3 linked regions of the Oryzias latipes genome follow. The protein of the gene in region 1 purifies or fractionates together with the protein of each later gene. This does not show direct contact. Links are inferred from orthologs where the notes say so. Each region holds a gene or a part of one and is shown on either strand. Other genes may lie near its edges.

Evidence for each region. The genes of interacting proteins can lie anywhere in the genome.
Region 2: the proteins of prkaa1 (region 1) and usp10 purify together in Homo sapiens (affinity purification with western blotting; 3 studies listed by BioGRID). This does not show direct contact. The link is inferred for Oryzias latipes from reciprocal best matches to the Homo sapiens genes PRKAA1 and USP10.
Region 3: the proteins of prkaa1 (region 1) and pars2 purify together in Homo sapiens (affinity purification with mass spectrometry; 3 studies listed by BioGRID and IntAct, with this or other methods). This does not show direct contact. The link is inferred for Oryzias latipes from reciprocal best matches to the Homo sapiens genes PRKAA1 and PARS2.

The regions. Positions count from the first base shown.
Region 1 is NC_019870.2:7,422,040-7,427,130, forward strand, and holds the start of prkaa1 (5'-AMP-activated protein kinase catalytic subunit alpha-1), read left to right. Parts: upstream 1-1,569; 5' UTR 1,570-1,683; coding exon 1,684-1,780; intron 1,781-4,613; coding exon 4,614-4,755; intron 4,756-5,091. UniProt on the Homo sapiens protein: Catalytic subunit of AMP-activated protein kinase (AMPK), an energy sensor protein kinase that plays a key role in regulating cellular energy metabolism.
Region 2 is NC_019861.2:21,052,393-21,057,686, forward strand, and holds the start of usp10 (ubiquitin carboxyl-terminal hydrolase 10), read right to left. Parts: upstream 3,274-5,294; 5' UTR 3,033-3,273; coding exon 3,012-3,032; intron 1-3,011. UniProt on the Homo sapiens protein: Hydrolase that can remove conjugated ubiquitin from target proteins such as p53/TP53, RPS2/us5, RPS3/us3, RPS10/eS10, BECN1, SNX3 and CFTR.
Region 3 is NC_019862.2:15,593,572-15,598,663, forward strand, and holds pars2 (probable proline--tRNA ligase, mitochondrial), read left to right. Parts: upstream 1-1,819; 5' UTR 1,820-1,967; intron 1,968-2,592; 5' UTR 2,593-2,622; coding exon 2,623-2,934; intron 2,935-3,085; coding exon 3,086-3,331; intron 3,332-3,413; coding exon 3,414-4,295; 3' UTR 4,296-4,378; downstream 4,379-5,092. UniProt on the Homo sapiens protein: Mitochondrial aminoacyl-tRNA synthetase that catalyzes the specific attachment of the proline amino acid (aa) to the homologous transfer RNA (tRNA), further participating in protein synthesis.

The DNA.
Region 1 (5,091 bases):
TGAAGAGATTTTTCTATCTCTTTGTTGCCTGTATTGTTAGGTTTCTCCTCATTTGTTCAATTTTCAGCAGAGACTCATTGTAAAGCGCAGCACTCTGTTAAACACCAACAAAGACAACAGTTTACACCATAACCCTTGTGCTATCCTAGGCACTTAAACATTGGGAGTTGGGTCATCTAGACCCACTAGACAGTGCTCTGAACCTTTTCTCTTCAATGATTTGTGATCTTCACTGGTGTCCATGGATTACATGAAATCTTTCCACCTTTATCCACCTTTGTCATGGTAGGGAGAACACGTCAAAGTATGGGGTCATCTAAGATAGCACAAGGGATAAACTAATATCAAGAAAAAGTCTTATTTTCATTCTAAGACATTAAATACCCAGAATCTTCCAAAAATGTGTTTGTTCTTAGTCTTTAACAGCAGATTATTATCAAAGGTATAAGTTTTTACAATGAAAAAAGTCAATGTTTTAACACTTTTTTGTGGAATTGAACAAATTGCATGAGTCAATGAAGGTTATGTGGTCTCCGACAGGAGCACCTGCAGGTCTATGTTTGGTGCTTTTGGTTGAATGTATATAGTGCATAAATTATGGATTAACTTTCTTGTTTCAGCACAGTTTAACTGGTTGATTATTGAACTGGAGCTTTGTCTCCAAACAGCCTGCATGCTATCTGTGTCAACAGAGAAATGTTTGCCTCCCTGCATGCATGCATTTGCTCTCTGAGGGCTGATTTCTGTGTCATCAGAAAGAAAGCTGTGAGAAAGCTGATATGCATCCCTTATTTTTATGGTTTTTGCAAAGTCATCATGGCACTGCTAATCTGTGATTTAAAAAAAATGGGCAACAACCTGAAATGTCTCTCCTTTCTGTCGAGACTCAGGTAAAAGGAAAACATAAATTGTAATAATGTGCATTTTTTGTTTATTATCTGCTATTTTAATATGCCACTAATACAGGTTGCCTCTATACCTACAATAAATACATGAACCTGTAACAAATATATTTAATTCTAAAGGCAAATTAAAAAAAAAATATTTGCCTGTAAAGAAGAAGCTTTACATGAAGACAGGGTTAAAATATTTATTTTAAAAGAACTTTTAACATTAACTTGAAAATAGTAACAGCAACTTCAAATGATTTGTTCAATGAAGAAAATAAAAAGTTGAATCAGAACTAGGATTTCAAATATATATAAGAATCCAACATTGCAATGAGACCCCTTAGTTTATTCTACATTAGTCAAAACATTGTCCTCCAGGACGGGGATTTTAAATAAAACGTTTAATTAAATAATACTACTGAGGCTCGAATAAACTGAATTTACATATTTGACTTTTTCTTTATCTTTATTTCTTTGTTTTAAACAATTAAATATACCATTTTGAAGTAAAACTGTTTCATTTAATCCTTAAATACTCTACAAATTCAAATTGATCATTATCGTGGTCTTTTAAAGAAACTATCATAACGAGGTGGTGATAAAGTTGCAATTTCCGATCATTGTGTGTAGCGTTAAGGCATCATTCACCCGTGAATTCGACGAATCAGAGGAGTCGGAGAAGCCCCCCACCCCTCCCACCAAGCGAAGCCGAGCCGCCGCTGGAGAGACAGCGGAGTTGGTCCCGTCTCTGCCCCTTAGCGAGCAAATCCCGCTGAAAGGCCGCTGCGGGAAGATGGCGACGGACAAACAGAAGCACGAAGGAAGAGTTAAAATAGGACATTACATTCTTGGAGACACCCTCGGAGTGGGGACGTTTGGAAAGGTTAAAGGTACGTGTGGAAGCGTTGGCCTCGGCACATCTCAGCGAATGAAAGATGGAGCCTACAGGCGCTTTTAGCTTAGCGCCTACTTTAGCCTGCTTGGACGCTAACTTGTCACCACCAGGAAGCTAATCATAAATGTTATAATGCTGCTAGTCTAGCTTTTGGAATAATTAACTAATGCCACCTGATGTGCGCAACTTATCAACATTTTCAAACTTGTTTTTTTCTTTAAATAAAAAAAGATAATAATAAATCAGTTAGCATCGGTTTAAGCTAGCCAAAGAGCCACAAGTCGGTGTCAAGATATATACCGGGAGTCAAGCTCGTCAGCCCCTAACTCGGGATACGGTTATGTTTAGGATGTTGCCCTGTCTTCATCACCCCTCCCCTTTTTTGATTTTCGGATTGGCGATAAACGCAGAGTTTGCAATTTCACCTTTCCCCTGGCTGTGCGGCGTTTCTTAACACGCTTTTTCATTTCAGAGGCGGCCGGGCTTTTTTATGGGTGAAAGGGAAGTAAACGGGGGCAGAATTCACGCCCAGTTTTGTATTTTGGCAATAACGAGGCATGCAAGCACTAATTTCATAATAAAGCACATCTAAATGATTTACTCCGTGCAGTTATTGTTTGTATTTACTTTAAAGTATAATCCAACCGTGTTTTAAAAACGTATAAAGATCAGTTATTTGTTAAAAAATGAAGAACCACCCACTCTGTATGCAGTCGGTGTGTGTGTGATCTACACTTTATTTTCTGTGTCTTTTGGTCTATTTATTTGTTGTTGTTGTTGTTGTCCTCTATGTAGTTTTGACAGTGGAGTGTTCTTTGTGTGGATCACAGAGTAGTTTAATTGAAAAATATGTTTTTTTATTGCCATTTGCTAAGGTTTTTGGTAAAAATATGGACAAACGTTTGTCACAAGCCAGTGAGGTTGCCAAATTTAAATTCAGTTATATGTATGATTTTTAGGTGTGAAATGCGGATTATTTTTCAAACTGTTGTTCCTAAACAACTGTTTTTTGGATTTTAAGAAAAAAAAACATTTTTCCTTAACCGGGTATTCAAACTGATCAAACAGGAGTTTTCATTGAAAAGAACAAATTCTAGCCCCCCCCCCCCCCCCCCCCCCAACACCACACTAGCCCTTATTTAAACTAGAAACATTTTTGACCAACTGAACCATTTGATGCTGAGAAAAATAATCCAATCAATAAATAATATTAAATGTAAATTGATGTGAAACATTAACACAGTAGCACCAATATATTTAACGTTTTTAGTTTAAAGAAATACGTAAAAAAAAGTGCTGATTTTTTTTCTAAATGATCGATTATTTATTTATGATCTCAAAGAGTGCAGCTGTTTTCCTGCATTACCTGCTGTCTTTGTCAAATACTGACACCGACTAAACCACAGGCAGACGCAAAGAATACATTTATGGAAAATAAAGACACGGCATCAAAATGTCTACAATAGTTCATAAAGAATGACATTAGTAGCCTGAGCTGAGGAATCTAAAGGCATGTGATGATCCTGGTGTTGTTCAGCGTGTGCTGTTCCACCTCGCAGCCTGAGCCCACTACCCCTCCCCTCTCCTTCTCACACACGTGTGTGACAGGAGACGGGAGCAGCTGCAGGGACGGCGGTTCACAGGTTTCAGGCTGTTACAAACTCTGTGATAGAACAGATAATAGGAAACCAATAGTGGCGCAGATTTTTTCCCAAGCATTGAGCCGTTGTCACCACCACGCCCCGGGCATTTGCCCGTATTACCTGTGCCTAAAACCGCCACTACTGCGCGCCCCCCCTGGCATCGCATCGCCCCACTATTTGAGAAGCACTGCTTTAAACCAACATGGTTTCAGTAAATAGACATTGGTTAACCTTTATTTAAAACATATCTGGAAACTAAAAAAAAACGTTGTGAGAATTCCACAAAGATGCCTTTTTAGGGAGTTGTTAAGAGTGTGTCTAACTATGAGGGGGCATATGGGAAGACCTAGGACATTCTGGAAAGATTAGATCTCCCAGCTGTATCCTGGAAGAGGTAGCTGGGAAAAGAGAGGTCTGGGGTTCCTCGCTAAAACTACTGCTTCCGCAGCTCGAATCCTGGATGCCAGAAGATAGTTGTTGGATGAGTGGACACGTTTTTTGACGTGCTTGTATTTTAAAAGGTGAAATGATATCCCTTTGAGCCAGATTTGTGTTTCTCGATGGGACAACTTAAAAAGCAAAAACTGTTCTCCAACTCCCAGTAGTAGTTGCAGTATTTTCTTTGTGCTGCTTTAATGTCTTTGTTGTGCGGAAATATTTTTTTCTGATTGAATCTATCCACACGATCAAAGTTTTCATTTATTTCTATTATCTGAACGGGTTTACGTTAATAGCATAATTTCAGTAAATTCAGACTAAAGGTCAACTGCAGAGTTGGACGTGTTTGGCCCACATAGCCATGAAATGAGCTTGTTTTGATTTCCCACTTGAACTTTGAAAGACTTTAAAAAAAAAACTGTTCAGCTTCCTGCAGACTTGCTTCTCTCACCGTTTGGGGAAATTTCAATCAATCTATGAATTGGCATCAACAGTGACACATGCAAAAAAGGTCCCGTCTGGTAATCAATGAATGGATGCAGCTTCCGTTAGGAATGTTGGAACTTTAACAAATATTTGCGAAAACAGCTTATTTAAATAGAAGATTTTGTTTTTAAAGTTACTTTTTAATACTATGTTTGATAATATTTTGAATAAGTAATTCCTAATAACTGTGGCTTGTATTTTCCATGTAACTATTCTTAAAAATCCAGGATATTTATGACCTGTCATCTGTTTGTCCTGCAGTGGGCCAACATGAACTTACCAAGCATCAAGTGGCGGTGAAAATCCTGAACAGGCAGAAGATTCGCAGCTTGGACGTGGTGGGAAAGATTCGGCGAGAGATCCAGAACCTCAAACTTTTCAGGCACCCTCACATAATTAAACTGTGAGTCCTAGATTACACACCACGCACCGTTCGCCGCTCTCTAATCCTTCCGCCGCCACATTAATACCACTCACGGAGCTATTTTCAGACTTTAATAGTGTGTTTTAGACCACATCCATTTAGGACAATATCTGTGGACTTAAGCCTCTGCTGGTTTCGCAGAATCGCCTCGTCTTAGTGAATCATGTCTGACAGCATCATTCCTCTCTGTCTGACTTGTTTGCCCTCAATCTCAAATATATTACTGAGGAAATGTTCAGGTTTATTTTTGAATTTATAGCTTTAAATCACTTTTGGTATTGCTCATAACTTTTGTTTAAGCTGTTAATCATTTTT
Region 2 (5,294 bases), on another chromosome or scaffold:
CTGGGTTTACATTTCTTTGTTAATCCTACACAAGCTGCTGCTAGTCCAAACACTAATTTACCTGAAGTTGGGTAGAGAATAAAAGGGAATACTCCCAGACATACAAATCTATATGATATTGCCTGATCTGGTAGCCACACACTTTCTCTAAGCAACTAAAATCTGAGTTTGTTAACATCCAAACACTTCCAAACAAGTGAATTTGATATTTCCCACTAGGTAAAAAAAAAGAGAGAGAGAGAAAGAAAATAAAGTATATTTAGTTCACAATTTTTTAAAAACACCTGCTGTTTTCCAGCACACAAACATACTATTTTTTTAAAGGCCTATATCATACTTTTAAACCTTTCAGAATAATCTATATCCATATAAATGAAAATATATTACCATTGGCAAAGCATAATTTTTTTCTTTAAATAAAATGCCAGTTTTTGCAGTTCATTTTCCAAGCCGGAAGTAAGAAAACTATCCCTGGCGCTGGGTGTGTGGGTGCTGGCTGACCATTTCATGACATCAACCTAGACATGGCCTCAGCAGTATGTCTCCGTTTCATGAAAACGAACATTATCCGAACTTTTTCAAAGATGGATCTGCATGTTGTGTAGAGCTGCACGATATGAGGAAAACTTGCGATATGCGATATTAATGATCAGTATTGGGATAACGATAAAACTTGCGGTATGTGAACAAATAGCAAAAACTACCAAAAACATCATTCCCCTTTCATTGCAACAGTTTAAAAATTATACTCTTATTGACCCTCGTCGACATAGGAGACAAACATCTAAGATAAAAGGGGTCCATCTGATTGGTCAAATGCATAAATGGATTTATTTGATTCATTAAATACTTTAAACTGCCATAAGACTTTTTTAGCACATTTAAGGTAACTATTTTATTGCAATTTTCGCAGTCTTTTGCAAAATGCATATTGCACAGCTTGATGTCACGATAAACTTGCGATATATTGTGCAGGTCTAATGTTGTGCATATAAAATGAACGCGTTTTTGCCGATCATTGATAGCTCTGCAGAGAAAGAGTCTGTGTGTGTGTTTGTGTGGGTGAGTGTGTGTGTTAGCTTGGGGGCGGTGCTAGCAGGGTAGAGGCTGTTCCTCACGTTGTTACGTCACAATGTTAGAACCCACTTGTTTTTGTGGACTAAGAGGGACTGGTGCTCAGAGAACTGGGTTTTTAAAGGAATGCTTAGATATGCATGAATGGAGAAAAATAATAATTTGGGATTTCTTTTCAAGAGGAATTAACACTATAATACACCTAAAAGCTAAAGAAAACCCTGAATTTTACATGATATCGGCCGTCTAAAATCACATGTTTTAGTAATATGATTGCTTGTAATAGTTTGTGTTCTTAATAACCTATACTTAATAGATCAATGGGTATCATGATGAGAAAATGCCCCAACAGAAATTAGTCTTCATGGTTGTACTTCACTGATTTTTTTGGAATAAATTCAGGACCATTTTTTTCAATGAAAAATAATGACATTTTTGCAAGATTTGGCAACCAAAGCATGCCAACCTGGTTCAGGTAATCAGAGTTTTAACATCCTTTTGTCTACAGTCTGATTTTGTCAACATACCTTTGAAGAAGGAGTTATGTAGCTTCTAACCATGTGCAATGTTAGTGAAATCAAATTTTATCATATTAGCTAAACCCATTTTTGAGAAAGGAAAGTGCACAGATGGTGTAAAAATATTTTCCTCCTAGTTTGTTGAACCTTTTATCTAAACTTTGTCTTGTGCACACTTCATTGAGTAATTTTTCTACTTTGTACTATCTGCAACTCTTGTTTTATATATATATATATATATATATATATATATATATATATATATATATATATATATATATAAATAAATAAACAGGCTAGCAGAAAGGTCTGCAGAAAATATAGCAAAGACATGTGTTGAGTCTTACTGCCCATTGCGTAGTTAATAATACACATGTCCCCTTGATTAATCTGATACAAATCAATTCCGCCTGCGGGAAACATGGTTAGAAACGCAACTTCAAGAAAACAATTCCCAGTTAATGCTCAGCAGCTATTACTTTAAAGTTTAGACTTGACATATTATACACAGAGCAGTTTGGGCCTTCCACATGACGACTTGTTCTAGCATCTTACGACTGGCAACGGCTTAATGAACCACAATCCACGAAACTAGTTTTAGTAACGACCCCAAAACGGTGCAGACGAACACTTTAATCCCACACCACCATGTCAAATAAATGCGTTCTCCCGACGAAGGCCAAGGTTGTCACGTTGTATTTAGCTAACAAGCTAGCGGACTGTCAGCAAAGTACATGCACACCACCTGTATAAACGCGGTTAGCTTGCTAAGAGCTAATGACCTCGAATATATTTTTGCCCCAACTTTAAGCAACTCGGAAAAACAATAATTAATGCAGACAAAAGTGTTGAACAAGTTTACTACGACTCTTCACATCGTTTTCACAAGTTTTTGGTTGCAAAGCGAGTTATTAAAATGAGGCTTAAAGGACGAAGGCCTTTAGAATTACTGACAGTTGGGGCCATGTGAAAACACGCAGCAATTTTCTGACATTTCACTCGCAGAAAATGTCATGACAATCGTAAGATTTCACGTCGAAGAGTCGATGTTATTGTTAATTGTATCGAGTACGCTTTCTAATTATCAAATTAAATAAAATTATGGCTTAATAATAGGAGCAACGGAGGAGAACCACTGCCTCATATATGAATGGAGCATATGGCCTATTGGCTAACGCTGCCATTCTGGATGTTTGAGACTTCGGGGGGTATTAACAAGCACTTTTCACGACCAACACATTTACTGAGTAGGATAACATTCAAACAAACCAAGATTATACACCTAAAGGCATAACATTTTTGTGAAAATAAACTATTGAAGACTGACGCACAAACAACTCTTTTTGGTAAACCTGCAAGCGAAAGTGACGCTGCGTTTGCTCCTTGCTAGCTAACATTAGCCAAATAGCTTTTAGCTACCTGGTTACTGTGAGAAGCCATGCTCCCAGTGAGAATGTTCTCCTCCGCAAGACGAAAACTCCTCTAGGAAGGCGTTATGGGGTTGTAATGACAATTACAAGAGGTCCTCTACTCCATCGTAATTGTCAGCTCTCCAAACGGTTCTTGGCATTCAAACATTTCGATCCATGAAGCGGCCAAGAAATTCATGCTGCTCAGCTTGCCGTCGCCGCCATTTCTGCGAAGCATTCCCCTCGTTTGCTAACCATTGCACAGCCGCGCGGTCCGTGGAAAGCATGAGTGAGACGAGTAACCACAAATACTTCCGGTGAGTTTTGGCCTAACAACTTCAAAATAAAGGCCTCCTCGTATTATTATCATTATTATTAATAATATATTGTTGTTGTTGCGCTTTAAACAGTTCCCATTAGTTTATTTCTTATGTTCATGAAACTGAAATATAACAATTTAAAAATCATACAAACAATAAATTACAGACAAACTTGTATCGGTTCTTGGATGTCCTCTAGAATTAGACTGCTATTAACCCTTCAAAGTGTGAATTTGTATTTATGTATTTGCATAGTGCTTTTCCCATCCCTTGGGTGCTCCCATCAGGGCTCACCACAGCAGATCAGTTGCCACAATCCAACTCTAGCTTCTGTACCCATTCACTCCTCTTGGATTTCGTCCCAGTTGTAACCACAGCCTCCATCTGCCAATTTATTAAGTGTCCCTTCTTTGAATATGTAATCTAAACAGTAAAATGTTGTGTTCAAGTATAGCTTTGATCGTCTTTGGCTTCTAACTTTCTAAATTGGTTTTGATTTTCAGTAATTAGTGAGGAATGCTTGCTTTTTTCTCTCTCCATGTTTGAACTACTCTAACATTGTTAACACTGCTTTAATACTTACATTTGGTCGAAACTTAGTTGTCGAAGTAAAAGACACCCTCAGACAAGAGTTTACAGGCATATTTTGATATGTTTGTATTAGCCTCTTTTCAAGGAATTTGGGGAAAATGAACTACATCTAGTGTCTCCCCACAGATAGAGTTTCTAAGCCTCATTTAAAGACATAGCCACTTTTATTTACTGCGTTTTGATTTCCTCTGAGAGTCACCTATTTATTTATTTTTTTTCATACCGTGTTTATTGATAAATTTTACATTAAAAAACATTTATTTTTGGTGTCTAAACCCTTTGATTACTTTGTCTTTTTTGTTTCTTAAAATAGCTTTATTGCTATGCTATCCCTGCATTATTTTTTTTCTGTGCATCAATTTGGTGACTGATGTCTTTTTCCAGTTACTTCAGTAAAACCAATTGAGTATAAACACGACCTCCAGTTAACAACCACATTTATAATACACAAGAAGCAAAAAACATCAGCCAGAGATTTAATTAATGGAATTTTATTAAAGGTATTGACCTACCTTTAGATTAAAACCAAAATATCTTGTAAACCTGCAGCCGATATAAGTAACCAGTGGGTTTGCTGAGCAAAGGAGATGGACACATTTTTACTTGTCATTAAAAATACTTGATTGGATTGGTTCAAAGACTTCACAATAAAAGTGGTAAAGTTGATTATTAGAGGAAACCTTTATGCAATATATACAAGACACATGTTAATAAAACTAACATGTCATCAAGCAGTATATATTTCTTTGTTGCTGCCCAGTGAGTTTTCTTACATTTTTTTGTGAAGTTAACTTTTATTGTTCACTTAAAAAAGTACAAATAAATACAAAAATATACACGATTAACACTTGTAAAAACTGTACTTTGTCAGAAAACCTTTTTTAAAGTATCTAACTTAATTCAGTCAATACTAATTATAAAATTTTAAGTTGAAGTCAAATAAGATTACAGGTTCTTCTAAATTTCAGAAATGAATGAATGAAAACTTTATTAATCCCAACAAGGAGAAACTCAGTTCCAGTACATCTCGATGAAGAAGGTCAGATGTTATGTTACATTTAAGCAGTACCATTGTATACTTCTAACCAATATACATTGTGTTTGGATTTAAATTCCAATAGCAGCTGGTAAAAGTTCTTAGTTGTATGACTTAAACTCAATGTATTTCTTTTCTTTTTAACTTATTATAAATACTTTAGTTGATCTTTACATCTAAAGATGTCTCTTTTTTTACTAACAAGCTGCCATCAAAGTAGAACTACTGACTGTAAAAGAGAGCAAGACGTGTTATATCTTTTATTGGTTGAACTTTTTTTAAAGAAAAAAATGTCCTGTAGGAATTGAGTTTGCTTATGTTAGTTTCACTCTAATTAAATCGTGTA
Region 3 (5,092 bases), on another chromosome or scaffold:
ATCCATCTGTTCTGGCGGCTTCTAGTTCCAGAAGAATGTCTCCCAGTTCTCTCAACCTTTGATTTTCTCTGTTGGTAATTTTTGGAAAATCCTCAACTTTTCTGAGAAGGGCATTTTCTATAGCTTCAGGTGATCCGTAGCAGTCCTCCAACCTTTGCCACACCATATTCACACCTGCTGCTGCATTGTGAATATGAACTGCTCTGATTCTCTTTGCACGTTCAGATGATTTTGGTCCAAGCCATTTACACAATAAATCCAGCTCTTCTCTGGGTGTTAAATTTAGATTTTCTACAGAGCTACAGAAGGATGTTTTCCAGGCCCAGTAATTCTCTGGTTGGTCATCGTAGTTTAATAGCCCTGAGCTTACAATTTCCCGGCGTACCAAGTACTTGGCCAGATCTGTCATAGCCGCTGGACTGGACTCTGCGGCATTGGTAGCAGCAGCTGGAGGAGACTGGGAAGCTTGGTTGACATGGCTGGATGGTGTTGGATGGTGAGACTGATTCCAGTAGTAAAATGTTCCTCTGGGTGGAGGTGGATCATGTCTGTGTTCAAACTCAAACTGAGTGTTTTCATACTGAGTTTTTTCGGATGGGTTTCGATGTTGGGGGTAACTTGGAGGAGTGTCCTGTTTGAATGCATGTTGAGCAGGTAGTACGTGAAACTCGTGAACATTACTCTTACTTGACTGTGCGTCGGCGTTCCCTTTGCAGCTTTTAACCATTTTTTGATGGTGTTTCTGCATTTCTGGGGTTTCTTGCAGCTTTGAGTCATGGTGAGAGTGCTCAGAGTTTAGATTCTTTGTAACGTCATGGTCAATGGATTTACTGTGTAAGCTCATACATTCTAGGTCCCCAAATTCATTCTCTGCAGCTGATTCCAAGACTTCAGCTTCTGCTATGGCGGCTGCAGCAGCACTTTCTAGTCGCAACTTGTGAAGATTTGCTTGGAGCTCCGCTTTCTTTCGTGCAGCCTCAGCTGCAGCCTTTTGTTGCTCCTCTTCAATATATGCTTGTGCTTTAATCATGTCGGCTTCTCGTTGAGCAAATGATGCTTGTGTGCGTGCAGCCTCCGCCTTTGCGCGTGCTCTGGCTGCTATAGCACTGGTTGAGGACAAGCGGCTGGTGCGTGAAGAGTTGGAGCATTGTGATCTTATTTCAAAGTCTTCGATATCTTTATCCATCAGGATGGCTGCTTTACTTGCAGAATAATATTGTATGTTTCAAAGTAGATCTCTTCTGGAGAAACCCGTCAGGTGGATGTCTTTTCACTATTCTGCCCTCACTGGAACTTTAGCGTGATTTCTACCTTGGCAGACAGCTAACAGGTTCCTCAATAAACACCCAGGAGTCATAAATGTCCATTATGTTAAAAATTCACTAATAAGGGAATACTACTGAAGTAATCATTTAATAGTACTAGCCAAATTTCATATTCATAAGTGCACATTTCGGGAGGGGGCACTATTCCAACTTTTTATGATTGAGTTAAACCAAAAACCAAAAAACCAAAACAATACATTCCTCTTCTAACCCCAAAGCTTTAAGAACTTGACACCTTGTATTTTTTTAGATGCAGAGAATAACAACTCACTGCTTTTCCTGCTTCTGTTTATTCAGGGTTTTTTTTTCAATCTATGTTTCCCTGGCACATTTTGTTACTCAGTTTTCTATCTGTATATTTTAAAATGTTCTCATTTTTGTATTAATGAGTCTGTAAGTTTTCAAAAAAGATTATTTAAAAAAAACTATTGCCAACGCTGTTGTTATTTCCCCTCCAAACCGGTAGATGGCAGTGTGAGATTACAGTGATTGCGGTGTCATGCAATCACAGAAAGAAAGTGACCTAGAGTGGAGGAGTGGTGGTAGCAATGCTTGCCTTGTGTATTCATTTATTTTCAAACTGCTCTCAGTCTTTTTGGCGCAAATGTACCAATAAAATCGTCTCAACGGAACTGTCTGAAGGTGAGGCTTGTTTATGACGTAAGCGTGCTTCTCGTTATAACACGCAAACAGAGGAAAATAACGTTAGCATCGTCGTCTGTTAGCCAAAGGCTTCCTTTAACTTTTCTAATGTGTCCAAGAATCTCAATGAATTTGTGCATAAATCATATGAACGCATGAAAACATTTCAAATTAAATGTCTAATTTTTTGGGAATAGTTAATTTATTTCAAATATAAATATTTCTAAATAGAGAATTTTAATCACTTTTAAGGAAGTACTTGTGTACTGTATTGTTTACCAACCAAATCAAATGAGCTTAATTGAGCCAAAAAACACGAGTCTCCACTTCTTGATGTTTTGCTTGATGCTTTTTTTCTGTTCCTCTTTAAAACATTAACATAGTGATCAAATGAAATATTTTTAGAAGCACCCAAATTAACTGTTTTAAAAAGAAACAAAGTTTTAGTACTCATTGTAGTTTTGTCTAGAAAATAATACATTTGAGCAGTTTTGCAGCAGTAAACCTGCATCACAATTTATTGGATGATCAGACTCTTGTTGAAGTGCAGATGTCACTGTGTTGCCTTGATTATATTTTGCTCTCATTACACTGCACTAATAACTCAAACTGTTTTACTTGACAGGGGCATTAATTTGAAGTGTGACAGTCTACGATGCATCCAGTTTGGAAGAGAGTGTTTCATCGTCTCCACAGAGCCCTTCTTATTTCAAAGAGGCATCAATCAGGTTATGCTGAGCACACACCCACCTGTACTTCTACAAAGACAACATCCAGGAAGCCGAGGCTCCTGGTTTCTCGTCTTTACCAGCCTTCGAACCTTCGGGATGTTGGCCAAGACAGCCGGCTGTCGGGAGAAATGACATGCAAGAGCCAGAGGCTCATGCATCAGGCCGGCCTCATTCATCCATTCAGTCCGGGGTGTTACGTCTACCTTCCTGCCACTGTCAGATCAATGGAGAAGCTGGTGAGTTTTTATCTTAAACAAAAGAAAAAACAAAAGCACAAAAATGACTAAATACCAGTTTGACTTTTTATTCAAAATGTTATCATGACATGGAAAAATACTACATTTTGCTACTACTTTTGGTTCTGTAACTGTTGCTTTCAATCAACAGATGAGAGTAATAGACCAGGAGATGCAGGGGATTGGAGGGCAGAAGCTGGACATGCCCAGTCTGTGCTCAGCAGATCTCTGGAGAACTAGTGAACGATGGGATTTGATGGGAAAGGAGCTGTTCCGTCTAAAAGACCGGCATGGTGCAGACTATTGCCTGGGTCCCACTCACGAGGAGGCCGTGACCACTCTTGTTGCTCACCAGGCAACGCTCTCATACAGACAGCTACCTCTGCTACTGTACCAAGTAGGTTTTTTGCTATAGTTACTATCACTTTTTCTGTTATAAGCTGCCCTTTTACTTTGTGATTTCTCTCATCCAAAACCAGATAACCCGCAAGTTCAGGGATGAGCCAAAACCAAAGTTTGGTCTTCTCAGAGGCCGAGAGTTTTACATGAAAGACATGTATTCATTTGATGTGAGTGAAGAAGCTGCTCAACAGACGTATGGATCTGTCTGTCAGGCGTACATCCAGCTTTTCACGCGTTTGGGCCTGCGCTGCGTTCAGGTACAGGCGGATACAGGCAACATCGGCGGTACCCTTTCCCATGAGTTTCAGTTACCAACAGACGTAGGAGAGGACCGACTTTTACTCTGTGGGAACTGCTCCTTTTCAGCTAATGTGGAGACTTTGTCATCAGGCACAACCCACTGTCCACAGTGCAAAACTGGAGCTCTGGTAGAGTCAAAGGGAATAGAAGTTGGGCACACGTTTTATCTGGGAAAGAAGTACTCCAGTGTATTCAAAGCCACCTTTAGCAACCCCCAAAACAAACCCTCCGTCACTGAAATGGGTTGCTATGGCCTTGGAGTGAGCCGCATTCTCGCTGCAGCCATTGAAGTGTTGTCCACAGACGAGGGAATCCGCTGGCCCGGTCTCATTGCTCCTTACCAGATCTGCGTTTTACCCCCCAAGAAAGGCAGTAAGGTCGAAGGGGCAGCAGTCTTAGCAGAGGAACTGGTGGACAGTTTGGGTGAAGACTTTCCTCACCTGAGGGGTGAGATTGTTCTTGATGACCGCACACAGATGACCATTGGAAAGAGGCTGAAGGACGCCAGCAGACTGGGCTACCCATATGTGATTGTGGTGGGGGAAGCAGCTCTACAGAATCCCCCCACCTTTGAGGTGATCTGTCAGCAGACTGCTGAGACGCTATTTCTGAGTAAAGACGGACTCCTGGATCTGCTCGGAAAAGTAGAAACTGTATAATAAACAGCTTTTGTTGTAAGAGTGTATAAATGTTTGACATGTGAGGTGATGGAATAAAAAACTGTAAAGCTTTTGATATCAAACTGGAGAAAACTTGTCCTTGGTTTTCAGTCTTTTATTTTATCAATGTTATAATGGAGTCTTAACGGGAATAAAGCATGTACCAGTACCAGTGTATGAATGAGAGAATTATGATGAAAACATTTTAAAGAGATCAAAATAAGTGTCATAATTCACAATTTCAAATCAATAAGTAAATTGATGTTGAACAAGGTTATGACAAAAATAGTCTTTGCTTAAGCTTTAGGTACACCACCACACTTAGTCTTAATCTGTTCTTTAGGTTGTTTGTTTTTTTACTTCAGTAAATAGTTTACTCTTTCCTTGAAGTCAATAGACTACTCCTATGCCAGTAGTTCTGTTGACCTACAGGGTTTTTATGAGCATGCTTGTAGGCAGAGAAATAAAAGAAAAGGCAACGATGAAGGACGTATAGCAGGAGCTTTGAATACAGTGACTTACAGGAAAACTAAAGTTGTCCAACACAATGGGAAGAAGGAAAGGTGGATTTCCTGGGTGTGCCAGATGGAGCAGAGCAGGGAGTTTGTAGTCAGCCGACTGTAGCACCTGGGTCACTGCCACAAGCTTTTTCCAGCAGCATTTTTCTCATCTGCAACTGATTCACAGCAATTTGAATAAATAAATACTCTGAAGTGCAAGTTTAAATTAAATGTACTTTATATATGTCCTACGTGAGAAAAATGCTTCAGGAACATTATAGAAACAGAAAAATGCAT